Sus scrofa: one gene and its partners. The protein of the gene in region 4 purifies or fractionates together with the protein of the main gene of each other region. This does not show direct contact. Links are inferred from orthologs where the notes say so. Each region holds a gene or a part of one and is shown on either strand. Other genes may lie near its edges.

What was found.
Region 1: the proteins of PPP4R2 (region 4) and CCDC6 purify together in Homo sapiens (co-immunoprecipitation; 3 studies listed by BioGRID and IntAct, counting the BioPlex papers as one, with this or other methods). This does not show direct contact. The link is inferred for Sus scrofa from reciprocal best matches to the Homo sapiens genes PPP4R2 and CCDC6.
Region 2: the proteins of PPP4R2 (region 4) and DHX38 purify together in Homo sapiens (affinity purification with mass spectrometry; 3 studies listed by BioGRID and IntAct, counting the BioPlex papers as one, with this or other methods). This does not show direct contact. The link is inferred for Sus scrofa from reciprocal best matches to the Homo sapiens genes PPP4R2 and DHX38.
Region 3: the proteins of PPP4R2 (region 4) and TIPRL purify together in Homo sapiens (affinity purification with mass spectrometry; 5 studies listed by BioGRID and IntAct, counting the BioPlex papers as one, with this or other methods). This does not show direct contact. The link is inferred for Sus scrofa from reciprocal best matches to the Homo sapiens genes PPP4R2 and TIPRL.

The regions. Positions count from the first base shown.
Region 1 is NC_010456.5:63,296,212-63,301,607, reverse strand, and holds the start of CCDC6 (coiled-coil domain-containing protein 6), read left to right. Parts: upstream 1-1,582; 5' UTR 1,583-2,314; coding exon 2,315-2,629; intron 2,630-5,396.
Region 2 is NC_010448.4:14,996,501-15,001,856, forward strand, and holds the start of DHX38 (pre-mRNA-splicing factor ATP-dependent RNA helicase PRP16), read left to right. Parts: upstream 1-1,590; 5' UTR 1,591-1,957; intron 1,958-3,441; exon of another isoform or gene 3,442-3,525; intron 3,526-4,483; 5' UTR 4,484-4,500; coding exon 4,501-4,823; intron 4,824-5,186; coding exon 5,187-5,356. UniProt on the Homo sapiens protein: Probable ATP-binding RNA helicase. Involved in pre-mRNA splicing as component of the spliceosome.
Region 3 is NC_010446.5:82,790,980-82,796,353, reverse strand, and holds the start of TIPRL (TIP41-like protein), read left to right. Parts: upstream 1-1,588; 5' UTR 1,589-1,800; coding exon 1,801-1,904; intron 1,905-1,951; exon of another isoform or gene 1,952-3,336; intron 3,337-5,374. UniProt on the Homo sapiens protein: May be a allosteric regulator of serine/threonine-protein phosphatase 2A (PP2A). Isoform 1 inhibits catalytic activity of the PP2A(D) core complex in vitro. The PP2A(C):TIPRL complex does not show phosphatase activity.
Region 4 is NC_010455.5:54,355,584-54,360,512, forward strand, and holds part of PPP4R2 (serine/threonine-protein phosphatase 4 regulatory subunit 2), read left to right. Parts: intron 1-3,650; coding exon 3,651-3,821; intron 3,822-4,929. UniProt on the Homo sapiens protein: Regulatory subunit of serine/threonine-protein phosphatase 4 (PP4). May regulate the activity of PPP4C at centrosomal microtubule organizing centers.

The DNA of each region.
Region 1 (5,396 bases), on a different chromosome or scaffold from region 4:
ATTCAGACCAATCCATTTTAAGTTACTGTAACGTGGGCCCTTTAAGAAAGTCAGGCTCTTGAAACTCCACCCCTCCGCTGACTTGAAGCATTTAAGTCCTCTTTCTGAGGCAGTTGGTGATAAAGCTGAGAGAGAGCCAGCTTGCTCCCAGCTTTGCCTGGAAGGAATGTTTTTAAGTAAGCTCTGAAAGTGGAAGCTTTAAGATACTATGGGATAGGGAACAATGGAAACTTGTGAAGTATGGAAGCCAGACTGGCTCTTAAGATTCTATCACGGTGCTGGGGTAAAGCGGAAAGAATGCTGTTAAGTCTGAGTTTCCCCATGTGGCACGACTCCCTGCTAGCTTTACCCCTCCATTTCACCCAGCAAGTGAGATTTCCAGAAGCCACTTCCAATCTGAGGAGCTGCTTGTCTTAAGTAGCACATCCTCAAAAGGAAAAAGTGAGGGAGAGGAGTTAAGTCTCAGTGAATACTAAACTGGATCACTTCTAACAGAATTGTTGACATTGGCTATATGTTTCTGAAGAGTAAAGTCAACTTTTTTTTTTGTTCTCCTGCTACACCAATAATGGCTGAGTTCAGAAGTCCTCTAGTACTAAACTAAATAATTAGGACAAATTTGGGGTTTAATTGCCATTGGCATTTTGGAGCTGTCTGCTGCAAGCAGCCATCTTGGTAAAAGATGATGTCATTTGGAACCCTTGGCATTTTAGTTTATTCCCAGGTACCTGCTGTTAGGAATTAGCTGTTGAATTAACACTGTAATCATTAGGTCAAATTTAGGTTTAAAGACAATGGAGGAGTTGAAATAAAAATCATTAAAGCACTTCTTTATCCTTCCTAACACATTACAAACTTTCCCAGAAGTTCAAAGCAATAGAAAAAAAATTTACACTTTTTTCCCCTGTTTCCAGGTTTGTTCTTCTGTTGACTAAGCTTGGAAAATAAAACTAGTCTGGTCAGTTTCATTTTCTGATTTTTATACATAAGTGAAAGCTGTTTTGTGTCAACAGTGTAAAGTGTTTAGAATCACCTCACCTGCTGGGCCAATTTCCTGTAAGCCTTTGTTTGGGACGGTAAAGGGGAAATACAAGTTTTGATCTTGCATTTCTTATGCTTCAAAACTAAAACCCTGTATTAGACCACAGTAGGGTAATTTTTTTTTTTTTTTTTGACTTCTTAAAGTTTTCTAGGAGTGGGCAAGATGATAGTAAAGGCAAATGATGGTCATGTTCTATTTCCACTTAATCACTATTTGTATAGCATAATGCTCTGTCCGCAGTTACTTTGGAAAGTTGGCACTTAAAGGGATATTTTAATCCACAAAAAGTGTTTATCTTTTTTTCTTTTGGATTAGATAAATGTTACTGTCTTAATCCTACTGCACGACAGGTCCTGGCATTGTCTGCAAGATACGGAGAGAAAAGGAAAAAAACCTTGCACCTTGTTTAAACAATTGAGCACAGTGTGGTTTACGAGATGATTAGGAGGAGGAGAAAAGACATTGTCTCTCCTGCAATTTTTTTCTTAAGGAGGTTAACCTGTGGGTGCTGTCGCGTCGCCCTCCTTGGCTCCTTGCAGAGGAACTTAACGTTCTGTGAACGCTCTCCAAACCTTCCTAGGCAAGCTCGCTGAGATCCAACTAAAAGGGCTGCGTCTGTGTTTGAAGCAGACAGAGGGAGACAGGAGCACACAACAGTCGCCAGAAGATGGGGCCACAACTCGGCTGGGGCTGGGTGCCGGAGCCGGGCTGACCTTTCCACGTGTCCTCAGCACCTGCGAGGCTAGTGGGGCATTAGGTTTCCTTTTCCCAGGAGCGGGCGCGAGCCCGGAAGAGGCTGGGCGGCGGCGGGCTTAGGGCAGAGAGAGGTGGGAGGCCCTCCCTCTGAACACGTGTGGCGGGGGAGCAGCTGGTGCGGAGGCTGACCTGGTCGGCAGGCACCGGCCCGCCCCGCGCGTCCCCAGCCCGCCGGCGGACGCCAGAAGGCTGACGGCGGCGGCAGGCGGGTCTCGGAGCTTTTCGGCCTGCTTTGCTGGGCGGCCTAAGCGAGCGCGCCAGGCCCGGCTGGAGCGAGCCCCAGTGCAATACTGCCCGAGCCCGGGCGGGGTCTCTGTTCTCTGGCAGAGGAGGTCCCTTGGCAGCGGGAAGCTCCCTCTCTTTCTCTTGCCGCCGTTCGGAGTCTGCGCCCTGGTGCCAGGCGCCCAGATCGGCGCTCCCCTGTGCTCGCCCGGCGCCCACTCATTTGCAGCCCAGCCTTCGCCGCCGCCGCCTCCCCGCTCCTCCTCCTGGTTGTCTCCCCAGCCCGCCGCGGTCATGGCGGACAGCGCCAGCGAGAGCGACACGGACGGGGCGGGGGGCAACAGCGGCAGCTCGGCAGCCATGCAGTCGTCTTGCTCGTCGACCTCGGGCGGCGGTGGCGGCGGCGGGGGAGGCGGAGGCGGCGGCGGCGGCGGGGGAAAATCGGGGGGCATTGTCATCTCGCCGTTCCGCCTGGAGGAGCTCACCAACCGCCTGGCTTCGCTGCAGCAGGAGAACAAGGTGCTCAAGATTGAGCTGGAGACCTACAAACTCAAGTGCAAGGCGCTGCAGGAGGAGAACCGCGACCTGCGCAAAGCCAGCGTGACCATCGTGAGTGCACCCCCCCTCCCGGGGGGCGCGCGGCAGCGGGCGACCTCCTCCCGCCCCGGGGAGAGGCTGCACCCCACCCCGGGCAGTCCCCCGGACTTCTCCCAGGCTCTCGAGGACCCGCAGCGAGCAAGCTCCCTGCCAAGACCTGCCGGCCCGGGAGGGTGGGGGAGAGGGAGGTGTCCCTTCGGGGCCGCTCGGGTCTGCCCTCCCCGGGGGTCCAGGCCCCTCGCGGGGTGCGGGAGGAGGCTGCTGGGACCGCCACCCACGTTCCCTTGTCGCTTCTGGGGAGGAGGCCCCTCTTGGGCAGAGCTGGAGGTCGGCGGCGTGGCTGGGGGGCGGGGTGGGACTTTTTCCAGTCCTCGTCTGCCTGAGGGGTGCGTCCAGAATCTGGGAGACCTAGGCTGAGGGAGAGAGAGGCGGCTGGGGCCTGTTCCAGGGGCCTAGTTTGGGGTGCGGGGAGTGCGCAGCTGGGCTGGGCACTTGGCTGGCATCTGGACGGCGCTGGCTGGGTCGCCCGGGGAGGGCGCGGGAGAGAGTGGCCGGGAATCCGGGAAGTGGAGTTTTCTGGCCGGGATCGAGAGGGAAGGGCGGGTACCGGAGCTGATGCTCCCACCACGTTGGAAGTCCTTTCCTTGGACAGGGGGCGGGTGGGGGTGGCGGCGGCGGTATATAGCCGGGAGAACGCAGCATCTTAGACTGGCCTGGACGGGGGGAACGGTTTGAAGCCTGGACAAGCTGAAGCCTGGGTGAAGGGGATCGACTGACTCCTTGGCTGAGCAAGATATACGTGTTTGCTTCACGGGCGGTGGAGTGTCTCGGTTATTTTGCTTCGGAGTCCAGAGACTTGGTGGGAGAACAGGCTGTCTGTTCTCTTTCCACCTGGCCCCTGGAGGCTCCCCCGAAGAGGATAAGATTAGGTGTGCAGTTCTCCCTTCTAGCGTAGCAGGCCCTTAGAAAGGCCCCTATTAGCTGTGATGAGGCGAAACGTAACTGGAAAAAGTACACTGTGTGCTCTCACCTAACATCCCTGCCAGCTAGCCACATCATTAACATGCAGAATCCCCATACAGACAACTCTATTCAGATCAAAACAGTTTCCCAGCCGGGAGGAGAGAGGACTATGTCACGAAATCAAGGGGCTAAATTGCCGCAGCTGTTGCACAATAGCTGATTAGAACTGAACGTGCAGATGGAGAAAAAGGCATGAACGTGGGGATGGACCAAAGATCACACTCTAGAAAAGGAAATGGGGCAAGTTTAGGATGCCCCCCTTGCGAGAAAAGTCTGCAGTGGAGGAGTAAGCGTGTGTGGAAGCTTCCTTTGTGCTAGCTCACGCTTGGGAACTGGATGGCATCCTGAATTTGCTTAGGAAGCAGGTTTCCACCAAAGTTTCTGTGGGATTGGCTGCTTGGAGAGAAGTTGATTGCCTAAAGAGACTTCACATGCTCAAATCCAGCTCTGGTGAATGGAATTGGAGCAATATTCACAAGTCTCCAGACTGTAAAGTTCTTGAAGTGCCCTTTTGATAGGAAGGGGGAGGAATTTGCAGAGGCAGCCACTTCCAAGCCTCTTCTGCAGCTTTCTTGGCTGAAAGAGATGTTTTTGGTGAGTGGGGGTTTGAGAGGAGGGGAAAGTTGGTGGAAACAGTTTATTTAAGATTGGGGTTGGTAAATGAGAAGATTGGTCTAGCCTCTTGGAAAATGTGAACCACCGAAAGTAGTAAAACTTCTATGAAGCCGAATCTCTGGCCTCTTGCCTATAATGAGCAATTTAGGCTGTTTTTGTTTGTTTGGGAGGGAGGCTGGGGGAGTGGAGATAAAATAAAAGGGTTATCTGTTTGACATTTGACCATATTATAAGTAAGTCCGTAGATTGGACACAAACACGTTGGCTTTGCGTGGACAAACATGTTCATTCCTGGTGTCTAAGATCAGAGGCCTCTGAGAGCTTGGCTTGAAGAGTGTGCATGGTGGTGGCTTTCTTTGCCCTTAGCCTCTATTAAAACTGACACCCTACCAAATATGCTTTGTGAAATGTTCTGTGGCCACACTGAGTCAGATTTTAAAATTGTTTTAGATGGCAGCTCTACATACCAGAGGCCTCTCACTTCTTTAATCTCTGATGAATATATTCAGGGAAACAAAGTGCTTGCAGTTTACTTAGTTCCCTGGTCCTTGGCAGGTGTTCCTAAGGCCAAAGAGAGAAGAGATTCCTTTAAGCTTTTGAGACTTTTGTTAGAGTTAAGCAACTGACCTAGGACCCAGATTGTGTTGGGTGGGCGTGACTCCTCAGGTATATAATTTGGGAGGAGAAATGTCTGACTACGTGGAGTGGATCTGTGGATGTAAGGATTCCACTGAACAACACTATGTAGTAATCCATGTCAAGGTTAAACTTCACAGCCCCTGACACTTCTGACTGAAACATAGCCCTTGTTGGTAGCTGCCTGGGAAGTTTGTGACAAGGCCTAGAAATTGAATTCAATGAAGCCTTGCGGGATTTTTCACTGTTAATGTTTGTTTGAAGAGAAGATGGTACCCTAATCCTATTACTACTTACTCTCATGGCTCTTTACTAGCGCCTCTAATTATTAGTATTAACTTTCATGTTTTTGAGAACTAAAGGTGATGTTTATGGATGTTTTTCCTTTTCCCTGAACATATTCAGGAAGGTACATCGTGAATCAGCCACACCCCGGGAAGAGAATGGGCCCTCTTTTTTTTTTTAAACTATTTTTTGGAGTAGTTTTAGATTCGCAGCAAAATTG
Region 2 (5,356 bases), on a different chromosome or scaffold from region 4:
CATAAGAAATGGAACTGTTCCAGTCATGAGCCATATTTTAAATAGGGAAGCTGATTGCCAGAAGGTACTTCATCAAACAGGAATGGCAGAACAAATTCTGAGAGGGAAAGGGGAAAGCTAAAGAAAAGATGGATCTGTCGAACCACTAGAATTCAACCAAACAGCAATTTCTGCGTGTTACTGATAAAAAGAGGAGGAAATGGCAGGAGAGCAAAGTTGTCATCAGAGTGAGTGGGGAGGTGAGGGTGTGAGAGTGGAATTGAATAAATGTTGAAAAAAGGAAAGGGAAATTGAGACCACACCTAAGAAAATGTCTATAGCAAAGGATAAAAACAAGGAATTCAGAAAGAAGACAGACGAGAAAAAAAAAAATTTGGAAAGTTTCACTGCTAAGTAAAGAAAAGCAAATTAAAAGATGTATTTTAGGAGTTCCCACTGTGGCACAGCGGAAATGAATCCAACTAGCATCCATGAGGATGTGGATTTGATCCCTGGCCTCTCTCAGTGGGGTGGGGGGGAATCTGGCCTTGCGTCAGCTCTGGTGTAGGCCAGCAGCTGTAGCTCTGATTTGACTCCTACCCTGAGAACTTCCATATGCTGTGGGTGTGGCCACAAAAAGTAGAAAAAAAAAAGTTATATTTTAAAAAGCCATTAAACTGGCAAAGATTAAATGATAAAGGCAAGAATGTCAGTGAAGGGACAGGCTTCATAGTCCCCCCTAGAAAACAGAGAACAAACCTTGTCTAGAAAGAAACCTGAAATACAACTCCATTTCTGAGAATTATTTCCTAGTAAATAACCAGACATACGCAGAAAGATTTATGTAAAAAGGATATTTGTCACGTTTTTAACAGTGAAAAACTGGAAACAACTTACACTGCCATCGGTAGGAGAATCGTGAAATGAAGGATGGCAGTCCTGTAACATACTAACACACTGTCACTACATATTGCGTTATAGATTAACAATTCAGATACGTGAAAAATCCTCGTAATAAAGAAAAAAGTCATAAAACAGTAGTATACAAAGGGTGATTCCGCTTTTGTACAAAACCTAACTATAATGCAAATATACATATTCACATAGGAAATAACTAAAAATGAATATCCTCAAACACCCTCAGTGGTTTTCACTGCGTGTGAACTTACGAGTGACTTTTACTCACACTGGGGTGCACGTCTTCATTTTTCCAATATCCCCGACATACCTATTTTTTATGATGCCAGTGGCTGGACTACTCCTGGCCCACAAGTGCCGGGGAAAAATGATACTTTATTTGCACGTCATCTTCCTCGCCAGCACTTCAAGGCTTTCGGCAACCCTGACACTTTCTCCAAAAAGCCGCGACGCCGGCGACTCCTTTCTTCTTCCGCAACCGCGGCGGCGACCCTAAACCAGAGTAACCCAGGGGCTGTTGCCAAATAACTCTCGGCCGACCTCTTAAGTGGACGGAAACGGAAAAAGAAAACGCACAAACGCAGTGATTAACGCGCGGTCTGTTCAGTTCAGCAGCCCAATAAGCGGAAGGGCCTATTCTACTCACGGCCAATCTTCCCCGCTGCGACCGGAAGCCTTAGGGTCACTTCCGCCCTTGTTAAACATGGCCGATCCCACCCCGCATTCCAATTAGGGGGCTGCCCAACTCTTAGACTAACCGTGATTGGTCGCCAAGAGACTCGGAAGTGTCTGTAATAAATGTCTTATCCCAGCCTCAGCGGAGGACCGTCTAGTCCAACAAGCGTGGTCCCCTTCCGCCCCGCACTAGGAACTCGCGTTTTCCGGGCTGATCTCGATGGTATCTTTGGACGGATAGAGGGGACCGCGCAAAGTATTATGGGACAACGATGGCCGCTTTCAAGGTGCGGGTTTTGGCTTTCTGAGACGTTCTGAGCGAGGAGTGGCTGCGCCAGCGCCCCAGAATCCGGGACAGAAGGTCTCGAGAGTCGGGCGTGGTGAGGTGAGTGTCCCTTCTTCCTTTCCGACCTTTTCTTACCCAGTCGTGGTGGCTCCAGGCAGCGGATATTGGTCCCTCTTTCGGGTTTGGGCCTAGACTTGGGAATCCTTGTCTTTGTCAGCCAGTGTGCCTTATTCGCTGTAGGGATATTGCGCAGGACAGCCTGCCGCGGCCTTCCTCTTTATTCTGATCAGATCCTGCATTTTGGTGCGTCCCCGCTGAGGTCCAGGGATGCTGCCCTGGGCGTCACCTGCTCCCTTCCTTAGGCCTCCGCATTAGCCCACTCCCAGACGGACTCCGAACCCAGTAGGGGTTCTTTGGGCTTCCTCTTCTCTGTCACAGTGGTATCTCTATCAGGCGATATCCTCTGCTAGAATGTCAACTCCAAGAAGGTCTGGACTTTTGTCTCTTCTCTTCTCTATCTCTAATGCCCAGAACAACGACTGGCTCACAGAAAGCTGTCAGTGAATAATTATTGAATGAATATATTCAGTTTCTTTCTTCACTATTTTCCTTATACCTCTTGTGGCTTCTTTACCATTAATACTTATTCGCAAAACAGCAGTTAACTCCTCAGCCACTCGTTGTCCTGTCAAACTCTTTTTCCTGTGCTCCTAGTACCTGTCCTTGCTGTCTTTAGGAATTTCTGGCTCCCTATCTCCTTTAATCAGTTTAAACTTGTTCATTCATTAATTCTTCACATGGTTCTGTTGTAGGCACTGGGCGTAGTAGTCATTAAGACAGACAAGGTTCTCCTGCATAAAATGACATACTAGGGGTATTTTTTCTAGTTCAGACTACTGAGCAGAGTCTGTATGTCCTACCTTCCTGGATTTGCTCACATGAGTACAGATATCACCAGTAGGTAGCTTTCCCTTTTCCCTTCTACCTAATGGCATTTTTTTTAAAATTTTTTTTGTCTTTTTGTCTTTTTGTTGTTGTTGTTGTTGCTATTTCTTGGGCCGCTCCCGCGGCATATGGAAGTTCCCAGGCTAGGGGTCCAATCGGAGCTGTAGCCACCGGCCTACGACAGGGCCACAGCAACGCGGGATCTGAGCCGCATCTGCAACCTACACCACAGCTCACGGCAACGCCGGATCGTTAACCCACTGAGCAAGGGCAGGGATCGAACCCGCAACCTCATGGTTCCTAGTCGGATTCGTTAACCACTGCGCCACGACGGGAACTCCCCTAATGGCATTTTTAAAAAAGGAAATTCTTGTTTCTTTGACCATACTATGTGTTGTCTGTTTGGCAATATTCTTCTAGAAAGCTCTGCATGTTAATTAAAGCTGGGCACAACAGTCTGGATTCTGGTGGTACCCTAGCACTTGATAGTTCTTTGCTTCACTGACTTGTTGGAATGAGGGAAGTTAGTCAAGCATTCAGAATATTTATAAGTAGATGGTGTATAGTGGGAAGAAAAAGAGGAGTTTGTTACAAGTTGAGTGCCAGGAAATCTTACAGTTACCTAAATACTTTTTCAGAAGTACCATTCCCAAGCCTGATGCTTCTCATCAACATTTTTGGAGAACATGAATTGTCATTAGACAGATTTCAACTGCCGTGAGGTAATTCTTTTCTACTGAACTTACCTGGCCCAGAAAATGCGTTTAAGTATAGACTGCATGGATAGTAGCCTTATCAACATCTCTGCTCCGCTGTAGCTGTAGTTTAAAAGAAGGGAGAGGAGGAAGAACTTACGTAGAAAAAACGATGAGGGATCCAATCAGTGTCTAGGAGCACAGCAAGTGAAATAATGTAACAGCCACATTTCTGTAACTCTTTATGGTTACAGAGTGCTTTTACTAAACTTTCTTGTTTGATTCTCACAACAACTCCAAGGATCAGATAGAGCAAAAAGTATTTTCACTTTGCAGATATAGAAGTTATGCCTAGGAGTTCATGCTTTGGTGCAGTGGGATCTGCAGTGGCAGGGGAGCAGGTTGGATCCCTGGCCCATCACAGTGAGTTAAGGATCTGGCGTTGCTGCAGCTGTGGAGTAATTTATGACTCTGGCTTGGAGTCGATCCTGGCCTGGGAACTCCATATCCCATGGGGCTCTCCCCCCCATAAGTGGGGGAGGAAATTATGCCTAACTGAAAGTTAAGTTATTTGCTTACAATCACACAGGCAGAAAATGTCAAGGGCCTGGATAGTAGAGATTTCTGATGTTAAATCTAGTGGTGTTATCCTTATACTCCCTTTTGAGATACCACCATGCTCTAGTAAGTATCTCTTAGTGAGGTCTGTTCTTGCCTGGATGCTGCCCTCTTGGATCCAGGTGTGTCTGTGTGTGCGTGCAAGTATCTATTTCGGATGTGTGTTGGGGTGGGATTAGGAAGATCTTTTGAGATTGTCAGTGACTTGATGGACAGGTCTTGGTTAAGAGGTAATTAAAGGAATTTTGGTCCTGGAGAAGAGGTCAACGCACCAAATATGCATGTGGCTACAGTTACTCTGGGATATAGCACAGTCAAGCCTTTCCTCTTCTTATGTCTAATGCCAAATGGTTTGTTTTCCTTTCAGAAATCTCAGAGCCTGTCATGGAGGACACCATCGAGGATGCCTCCCTCCACCGATTGGAAGGCACTGATGCCGACTCTCAGGTTGGCGGTCTTATCTGTAAAACCAAAAGTGCAGCTAGTGAGCAGCACGTCTTTAAGGCCCCTGCTCCCCGCCCGTCATTGCTGGGACTGGACTTGTTGGCTTCCCTGAAAAGGAGGGAGAGAGAGGAGAAGGATGATGGAGAGGATAAGAAGAAGTCCAGAATCTCTTCCTACAAGGACTGGGAAGAGAGCAAAGATGACCAGAGGGACGCTGAGGAGGAGGGCAGTGACCAGGCTGGCCGAAGTAGCCGAAGAGACAGGTAAAGGCCTTAGGGTGGCTTGCCCTAAAGGCAATGAGAGTGGAGCCCAGAACATAACATTCTGTGTTTATCTCTCAGTGTTCCTGTTGGACATTTAGGATGTTTTAAATTGTATGTTGATTATATCACATGGAGGGTAAATAGGAATTGATGTTTTCTTCAGATTTGGAGGAACCGTTCCAAGGCGACCATAGAGTAAAATGATGGAGGTTAGAAATGCTTACGATTGTCACCATATGCAAGCCTGCTGCACCAGAGAGAGAAAATGAAAAAGGCCAGATCACTTGTTTGGCAAAGCCAACGGTTTGAGGCAGGTTTTCCTTCTCTGGACAAGCCTTTTACCAGCTTCCCTGCCTGTTTCAGACATTATCGATCGGCTCGGGTAGAGACTCCATCGCATCCTGGTGGCGTGAGTGAAGAGTTTTGGGAACGCAGTCGGCAGAGAGAGCGGGAGCGGCGAGAACATGGCGTTTATGCCTCGTCCAAAGAAGAGAAGGATCGGAAGAAGGAGAGGCCTCGGGATCGAGATGGCG
Region 3 (5,374 bases), on a different chromosome or scaffold from region 4:
GACAAAAGACAAAAAAAAAAAAAAAAAAAAAAAAAAAAAAGAAAGGGTGTGAGTGCTGTTTCCTAATGAAAAAACAAATGCCTGGCCAACAGCAGATGCTCAAATTTTGACATTCATTTGGATGAATGAATAAACAGTGGTAACTGGAATGAGTGAAGTTAAATTAAATCAACATGTTGGCTAAGAAGAAGGAGTGATTAAATCCAGCTCCAGAGTTCAGAAAAAGCCTTTTGGAGGAGATGTATCATTCCAAGGCAGATCATCCCAGGTTAGGGAAAGGGATGGGGGCTGGAGAATCTATAGTTCTAAAAGGTGCCAGGTTGACTCTGAAATGGGACAGGTCTGAGTATGACAGTTTCAAGCAGATAGAACAGCAAGAGTAAGGGCCCAAAGGTTGGGCTGAGTGCTGGTGAGTAGGGCTGAGAGGGAGTTGAAAATGGGGCCAGAAAGAAAGATTTGGGAGAAGTTCCCATTGTGGCAAAGCGGAAACGAATCCAACTAGTATCCTTGAGGATTCAGGTTTGATCTCTGGCCTTGCTCCAGTGGGTTAAGGATCAGGCATTGCCGTGAGCTATGGTGTAGGTAGCAGATGATGCTCAGATCCAGCATTGCTACGGCTGTGGTGCAGGCTGGTAGGTGTAGGTTGGATTTGACCCCTAGCCTGGGAACCTCCACATTCCTTGGGCACAGACCTAAAAAGCCAAAAAAAAAAAAAAGATTTGATAGACACCCTAAGAGCAAGGGATTTTTTTTTTTTTCTAATTTATTTTGGCCCCGCTGGCATGTGGGAGTTCCCAGGCCAGGAAAGCATACTATTTTAGGCAGCTGAAGCCAAAATCATTAGTTAAGTGGTTTGCCAAGGATGCATAAAACATCATTGTAAAAGATGATTTAGTACGGGTCTAAAGTGCTGTTTCCACTATACCAGATGCTTAGGTGATAGCTAGACCAGGAAAGTCCTGAAATGTCTGAACGATGAATTCTTTTTTTAGGGCCACACCCACGGCATAAGGAGAGTCCCAGGCCAAGGGTCAAATAGGAGCTATAGCTGCCGGCCTATGCCACAGTCACCGCAATGCCAGATCCCTTAACATACTGACTGAGCGAGGCCAGGGATCGAACCCGCAACCTCATGGGTCCTAGTCGGATTAGTTTCCGCTGCGCCACGACAGGAATTCCTGAATGAGGAAATTTTTGATAGGAGTCTTAATCGATAGCAGCTAGATGTCCAATTCTGGGTCACGTAGCTCTTGATGTTGACCTAAGCTCCTGGACTCTTAAGTGATTTTAAAATTTTGGCCTCAATGGGAAAATGTAGGGCATTTCCTCTCTACCCTAATTCACCAACACGCGAGGTAACTCGCTGCTTTGCAAAGTTGGCTAGGATCACGTTCAACTCACCTTTTCCACCGTGGAGCTTCCATTAAACATGCCCTGAGACGACGTCATTGCAGCAGCTCAGGGAGCGGTGCACCCCGACCACACCTCCTGAGTCGAGGCCTCTCCCCTCAGCATTTTCTCACCGCCTTTTTCCCGGTGCGTCTTGACGTAATACGTAGGTCACGCAACCTTGGCAACTGCTCCCGGAAGCAAAACCCGAGGGGCGGAGAAGAAGGTGGAAAGTTGGGCCTGCGTCCGGGTCGGCCGGCAGGGGGCGGGGCCGGGCATGGTAACGGCTGGGAAGCCGAGGGGGCTGGGCCGGAGCAAGGCGGAGGGAGCGGTGTCCGCTACCGCTGTCGCTGCCGCTGCCACCGCTGCTCCAACCTGTTCTGCGTAGCCCACGCGGGCTCCATCGCAGCCATGATGATCCACGGCTTCCAGAGCAGCCACCAGGACTTCTCCTTCGGGCCCTGGAAGCTGACGGCATCCAAGACCCACATCATGAAGTCAGCGGATGTAGAGAAGTGAGACTCCAGGGCTGAGATCCGGGCGCGGGCTGGGGAGCTGGGCCTGCGCGGGAGGCAAGGGCGAGCTCCCCGCAGCCCCAGCCTTCCTCTGGGGCGGAGGCTTGGACGGGACCTTTGAATGGCAACACCAGGAAATATTGCTATCACTGCCTTCTGTCCTTCGGTTCAGGTTTCAGGCGCTGCCTTCGTGAAACTGTCATTCCGCTTGGGTTTGAGCAGAGCATGACTGTTCCGGTGGACTTTCGCCTCCCATGGTTCTCTACCTGCCCCAGCCTGCGCCACCTTTAGACTATTTCTGGGTGGCTGTGACCTCTTTTCTTGGGGTTTAATAACGGAGATGATATATATGCTTGATTTTTAGCTTGTCAGGTGCTATGCCAGGCATTTAAGATACAGAAGACAATCCCGACCTCGAGGAACTCAGTCTTGTGAGAATGACAGTTATAATACAGTGTGAATTGATAGAAGTGTATATACAGGGTTATTCGAGATTATTTAGGGAAACAAGGCATGCGGGAAATTGGGATGTCTGCACTGAATCTTGATAAAGTCGGTGGAATTGGGTGAGGGTGGAAGGCATGTGTAAAGGTGGAGGGCCAGGGAAAGTGACAGCTGTGCCGCGTTTGTGATGCCTGAGCTCGACAGAATTTGGGGGTGACAGGAGACACGTGTAAAGCTGGGAGGTCAGAGAGAGTGGGAGCCTTAAAGCACTGTTTCTGTGTGATTGCAGCATGAAGGATCGGAGGGGGACTGCTGTTGTGAGAAGCCAGAGGCAAGCAGGTCCTTGGGCAGTAAAGATAACTGAGAGAACTTTTATGCCGGGCTAAGGAGTTTTGATTTGGGGGCGGGGGGGCTATGCTCGGGACATGTGGAAGTTCCCTGGCCAGGGATGGAATCCACACCACAGCAGCAACCCAATCCCCTGTAGTGACAGCAGCTGGATCCTTAATCTGCTGCACCACAAGAGAATTTAAGTAGTTTTGAGTTTTATCTGACTACCACTGGGGGTCTTTTTTTTTTTTAAGTGTTTGGCCTCACCTGTGGCACATGGAAGTTCCATGGCCAGGGGTTGCACCATAGCTGTTGTATAGTTATGCTGTAGGCCACAGGGAAAGTCCATGGGTGTCATTTTATAGAAAGGAGCGATATTATCAGATTACACCCTGAAAGAATTCTCTGGAGCTGATGCAGAGGATGGATTGGAAGGATGTAGGCCTGGGTAAGGAGACAGTTGGAAGGGGAGAGAAGAGAGATTTTAGAAGATTAAGTCCCTGAATTTGATGGCTGCTTGATAGGAGGAGGAAGGAAAAAGGAAGAATCTGTACCATTGGCAAGATTTCTGGCTTGCTGTTGCAGGGAAAGCATTGCTATTGGACAAGGTGAGAAACACAGGAGGAGGAGCAGAATGGAGGCATGTGTTGGATAGAAGGTGAGATTAGTTTGTTGAAGAGTGTCTTAGGCATTTATCTTGGAGCTTAAAAAAAGATGACTTGTCCATGATTTAGCTTTGGGAATCATCAGCTTATAGTTGATATACCTGAATACCTGGGAGTGAATTAAAATCATTTGGAAGTCAAACAGAAGAAAAGGAAAAGGTTATGAGATGGGACCCTAGGGAGCACAGGCATTTTAAGATTTAGGTAGAGGAAAGTAACCAGGGAAGAGAGGAGAGTCATGAAAGGATATTTAACTTCCTAATTAAAAAAAAAGGAAACATTCTCACAGTCACTAAGAAAAATTAAGAAAATACAGAAAAGAAAGGAAAAAGAAATCCCTTCATCCTATCACAGTTACTCTGAGTTTTTCGCTCCATGTAACTTTCTCTATTACATATTGCACCACATATTTGTAATTGTGCTATATATGAACTAGTCAGCTTCAAATTATGATTACCCATGTAATTTTCAGACTATTTAAGAGGTACTAGATGGATGGAGAATTTTGTTTTGTTTTGTTTGTTTTTAGGGCTGTACCCTAGGCATGTGGAAGTTTCCAGGCTAGGGGTCCAATTGGAACTGCAGCTGCTGGCCTACAGCAACGCCAGATCCAAGCTCCATCTGTCACTTTCACCGCAGCTCTCTGAAACACCGGATCCTTAACCCACTGAGCGAGGCGAGGGATTGAACCCACATCCTCATGGATACTAGTTGGATTCTTTGTTTTTCAGGGCTGCACCAGCGGCATATGAAAGTTCCCAGGTTAGGGTTCAAACTGGAGCTGTAGCTGCTGGCCTATGCCACAACCACAGCAATGCCAGTTCCAAGCCTCGTCCGCAACCTACACCACAGCCCCACAGCAACGCTGTATCCTTAACCCACTAAGTTAGGCCAGGGATAGAACCCTCATCCTTATGGATATTAGTCGATTCTTAACCTGGTGAGCCACAATGGGAACTCCATGGAGAGTTTTAAGAGAATCAAATTCCAGATCTTGAGAATTCCATCACGGTGCAGTGGAAATGAGTCCTACTAGGAACCATGAGGTTGTGGGTTCAATCCCTGCCTCACTCAGTGGGTTAAGGATCCAGCATTGCCATGAGCTGTGGTGTAGGTCACAGATGTGGCTTGGATTCCGCATTGCTGTGGCTGTGGTATAGGCTGGCGGCTGTAGCTCCGATTGGACTCCTAGCCTGGGAACCTCCCTTTGCTGCAGGTGTGGCCCTAAAAAGCAAAAAAAAAAAAAAAAAAAAAGAAAGAAAGAAAGAAAGAAAAAAACTCCAGATCCTTAACCTCTTTGTTTATTTCTAAAACCAATCTGCTTGAATATCTTGAGTATACTTAGTAGTAGTTCTTCCTTGTGACAAAACAAAGGCTTTTCTGCTCCCATCTTACATTTTTCTGTGATGCCTGCCCTAGGGCAAAACCTCTTGGGTGCTGAACAAATGAATTGGGTTTTTTTTTTTTTTTTTGCAAGCAAGCAAAATCTTTATTGCAGGAAAGCAAATAGCTCCCAGGGCTGCTGGGAGGGGGGAGAAAAGCCCCACCCCCATTGTCCTATGGGGGTTTTTATCCTTTAACGATGTGGGGGGTACCAACTGGGTATCCTTTAAAGATGTGGGGGGTCCAAAAAGATGTGGTTTTCTCCTATTGGCCTTGCTTGATTACATTTATCAGTCCTTGTCCAACAGAGGTGTTAGGGGTAGAAATGTCCCATTTAATTTTTTATGGTTTCTTTGCCCTTTTCTTCTACTGAGTTACAGGGGATTAGGGATTAATGACCATCTGGGCATAGGTACACTCCCTATAGAAAACAAGGCCTGTGGGGATGTTACTCTCTGGAGCCCTTAAGCCACAAATGTTAATCAATAGCCATATCAAAGAATGCATCCAAGCCCCTGCTCCTACATTGACTGCCTGAGTTAGTGTTCTGCCTCAATTTCCCCTTCTAGAGTTGGAGACTAACTGTGGGGGTGGGGATGGGGTGGGGAAAGAAGGAGCGATGACCGCTCTGACTGCTTCCTGCTGAAC
Region 4 (4,929 bases):
GAGGCAGCAAGTTAGGATGTGACTTGATACTTCCCCCTAAAATGTTCTAGAACTGGCTAGGAAATAACAGTTGGATTTTGCTCTTGAACCTGTGAAAAAATACCTTTAACCTGAGCATTGTCAGGGAAATATGTTCGTTTTAGTATAGACTTGTGAGTTCCTTTGGAAGAAAAAGGTCATTGTGGTGTTGGTAGGAGGATATATTTATCTGAGTTGTTTTGCCTTTCTAGAGGAAAAGCTGCATAAAGGGAAAGTGGAAGGGAAAGAGAAGAAGAGGGAGTTGAAGTTACTTAAAAAAATTAATGGATAATGAATTTCATTAAATACTTAATTCTAGCCAAGTAGATTTAAATTCTGAGTATGTATTTTATCTTGGGAGGAAATTTTTATGTGAAAGAATTGATTCTCAAGTTGAATATGTGTTTATGTTTCATGAGCATCTGTTTAGAGTAATTTATTTTCATTTGAAAAATAAGGGTTTTTTTGTTTGTTTTTTAGCTTTTTATGCAATGAGTACATTACTAGGAAAATTATTTTTGTTGCCAAATTTTTAGTTGATTTATTCATGGCGTGGTTTTGTGCTCAAATTACATAATTTCCAGTGATGCATTTTCTGCTTTTGTTTTTATCAGATGGTTGTGTTGCATCAAAATGCATTCTTCCATTTTTTCCACACGTATTTTTTCTATTGTATATGGCACAGTAACTTTTGAATTGCATCTCAGATCTGATTTAGGATAACTTTACCTGATACATTCGAAACTTAAAATACAAGTTGTACGTAATTGATTTTATGGCATTTAATTCCTGACTGATCTAGAGTCTTTGATGCTCCTCATAGTTTTGCTTTACCTACTAGTTTCCTTCACTTCTCCTCTCCCTATTCCTATTAATATGTTGTTGATGTTTGGATGTCATGGGTAGATTTGCCAACAGTTAATGGGAAGATGGGTTAGAAAACTGTGTGTGTATGGAAATTCTAATTCGTGAAACAGGTTATGACTAAGTGGGTGATTGTTAAAACTACAGGAAGAATTCTTAATTTAAGAAATGAAAAGTTTAAGACTCCTATTTCAGTAACCTTACCTGGTGTGTTTAAGTATTAGTTAAATGTCTGTAGGGAGTGTAGTGAAATTTAAAGATTAAATTTTAGTAATCACTGACAGTAGTATAGTACACAGAAATTAATATTAGGCAAGTCAAAAATTACAATGTGCCACCTCCTGATTGTTAAACCTCAAATTCTCCTTCCCAGAAAAAAACTTGGGAAAGGAGGGAAAAGGTAATCATATAAATAGCTTTAAATAATGACCCTGAATGAATTTTTTAAATAATAATAAAATTTACCTGCCATGTAATTCACTCATTTAACAGAGTGGAGTTGTCAGGTTACATATCAGCTCTGTTTAACTTTTTGAGAAGCTGCCAAGCTAAACTTTTCCAAAATGGCTACACCATTTTGCATTTCCATCCATGTATAGGTTTCCACTTGACCTTCATCCTCTCTAGCACTTGTTATTGTATTGTCTATCATTTTTATTATAACAGCCTTAGTGGGTGAGAAATGCTATCTTGTGATTTTGATGAGTACTGGCTAATAATGTTAAGAATCTTTGTGTGCTTATTGGCTATTTATCTGTCTTCTGAAACTCTGCAACTCATTAAACAATAACCTCTTACCCATTCCTTTTCCAAGCCCCTGACAAATGCCCTTCTGCTGTCTCTCTGAATTTGACTATTCTAGATTACCTCTGACAAGTGGAATCAAAATATTTATTCTTTTGTGTCTGGTTTACTTCGAGGGTTTAGCATAATGTATTCAAGATTCTTTGTTGTAGTATGTGTCAGAATTTCCTTCTTTAAGGCCGTATTTCATTTTACATATATATTGTACATTTTGTTTATACATTTGGGTAGTTCCTACCGTTGCGTATAAGTGAATTTCGTGCGATTGAGTTTCTGTTTTCACATTTTTGGAGTGTCCAGAAATGGAATTGCTGAATCATTCGGTAAATTCTTTAATTTTTTTTTTTTTTTTTTTTTTTTTTTTTTTTTTTAAGGAGGACCCACCATACTGTTTTCCGTAGTGTCCTCACCATTTTATATTCCCACAAGCAATGAATAAGGGTTTCTTTACATACTACTGGGCAGTGGTTGTTATTTTATGTGTGTGTTTAAAATAGTTAATGTAATGGATGTGAATGAAGTTCTATCTTCCTGTGATTTTGATGTTCATTTCCCAAATGATTAACATTTAATCTTTCCATTTGCTTGTTGGCCATTTGTAGATCTTTAAAGAAATGCCTGTTAATATACTTTGCCCGTTTTTATATAAGTTGGTTTGGTTTTTTGCTGATGAGTTGTGGGAGTTCTATATATATCCTGAATATTTACACTCTACCAGATGGATGATTTGCAGATAGTTTCTCCCATTCTGTGGGTTGCCTTTTCACTCTTTCTGATAGTGTCCCTTTGATGCACAAGGTTTTTTTTTGTTTGTTTTGTTTGTTTTTATGACCACACCTGAAGCATATGGAAGTTCCCAGGCTAGGGGCTCAATTGGAGCTGCAGCTGAGGCCAGCCATGGCAACACTGGATCCAAGCCACACAAGAAGGTAATCACTACCAGTATTGTTTGGTATTGCTGCCTTGATTTGTGCAAGTATCGTCCGTTTTACTCACTGCTGTTTTTGCACCAATCATCGTTGCAGATGTCAACTCAGTGAATAAGTTATCTCTATTCTTAGGGAGATAGCTTTGACCTCTTGGGCCACACTTAGAGAATTGCTGCCTTAGTTTATAGGGTTGCTGGATGGAATGGAAGAGTGACTATGGAGTAGTAGTCTTATCTTGCCTGAGTAGTCTCTTGTCTAAGATGTTTGGAGAAATGGTTGCCATTCCTCACTCTTGTATTTCCTGTAATTTAGGCTATTCAGGCTGGTATCAGCATAAAATTTCCTTATATTAGTGGTAGAATGTGAGGGGACCGGGATAAAAAGATGTTAAATTCATGAATAGATATGGAATGTACATAATGTATTATGTATTTTTACTTTGCAAGATACATTTTGGATAGAACCCTATGATAAATACTTTTTAAATGACAAAATATTTAAAAAATTAGTTGAAAGCAAAAGAAAAAGGAGAAATTAAAGGGTTTTTTTTTTGGTACTTATCAGATACAAGACAAGAAATATTTACTAGTCTTATAAGCATTATGGCTTGGATGATAACAACTTGAGGTATGGAGTCATTCTGATTTGTCCAGTTAAAATTATCACTGTAAAGTTGGCCTAGTTTCTAGTAACCTACTTTAAAATGGGGGCAGTAACACCTCCCTGGTTAGGTTTTTATGAGGAACAGAGTCAAAATAATGTTTTAAAAATGTGAAGAATGGGACTTAGACAATAAGCTTTAATTGAGAAATAGTTAATTTTAAAGATTTTAAGCTGAGATTTAGATTTTGTTTGGGTCGGGAGTAGGGAGAATTTAGAAGGAACCAAGTTGGAGTGTGTGAGTCATATTGATCAGGCCTGGTACAGGATACTGAAGAAACACACTCCCACTACTCCTTGTCCAAATCTTAAGCTGTATTTGTGCTTTGTGTTCAAGCTACATGGTATTACATTTTCAAAATTTTTTACTTATAGGATTCAGTGGTCCCAATTTAAAGGCTATTTTATTTTCAAACTGGAGAAAGTGATGGATGATTTCAGAACTTCAGCTCCTGAACCAAGAGGTCCTCCTAACCCTAATGTCGAATATATTCCTTTTGATGAAATGAAGGAAAGAATACTGAAAATTGTCACTGGATTTAATGGGTATGCATTTAATTCTACTTTTAAAGGTTTAATTTTTAGCTGAACAGTGATTGTTCTCTTAGTTCTGATGTGTCTGGTTCTTTAATAACTGATTATCCATTAGAATAAATTCTGTCTCTTGTGGTATATATAGTAGTTACTGATTTCCAGCTTACATATATTTAAAATAGTTACACCTTTTTTTTTTGAAACTCGAATCATCTTTATATGGTTTTGTGGCATTTTAGATTTTAAATGTGTATGACAGTGGAAATGATATCAGGAAATATTTAAAAATTTTTCTTTCCATTTTTTACTTAATGTTATAAATTTTTATACTTTGTCTAGAACCTGTTTAACATTGAGATAAGTAACATTTCTTTTAAAATGAAAAATAACAATTTATGGAAGAATTCAGCTTAGTGACTTTTTATTTTAAAATATTTTTTGGAGTCCTTTTTTTCCCCTCAGTAAGTAACCATTTTAGCCCTTTGTAAAACATGGCTCTGGAAAGTTACTCTTCACTGAAATGAAACTGACCTTTAAATGGCTGTGTGTCATACTCTATGTTGTTTTAAATATTTCTCTTTTTAGGACTTTGTATTTTTACGGTTTCCTTCATTGAAGGAACGAAGTATTTGTAAAGTTGAATTGTTCAGTATTTAGATTGTTATTAACAATTTGGGTGGTGACAATACCTAATCTGATGTATTGTGTCTATGTTAACCATGAATTCATATTTACGGTCAATTTTTATTTGAAGGGATTTCATTTGTATTTTTAGGTAGCATAAATGCTTTTGTTTTTTTCTTCAGATACTTAATGACATGGGATTTTGCAACAAGATAGTGTAATTCAGATAACCTTTTTGCTGTATGTACTGTTCCCCACTTTTAAGTTTGTTTGGTTTAAAATATCAAATCCTTAAGCTTTGGTTTTAGGTATTGTTGCCAAAATACTTTTCTTTTGGGAGAAATTAAAGCTTTATCTTTGAGCTGCCCTTGGGGATTTGGAATTGGAGGGAGACTTACTTTCACTGTCTACCCTGTTGTATTATTGAACATCATTTAATTGTATGCATATATTTACTTATAAGTACTAATTTTTTTTTAAAGCCCATACCCAGATG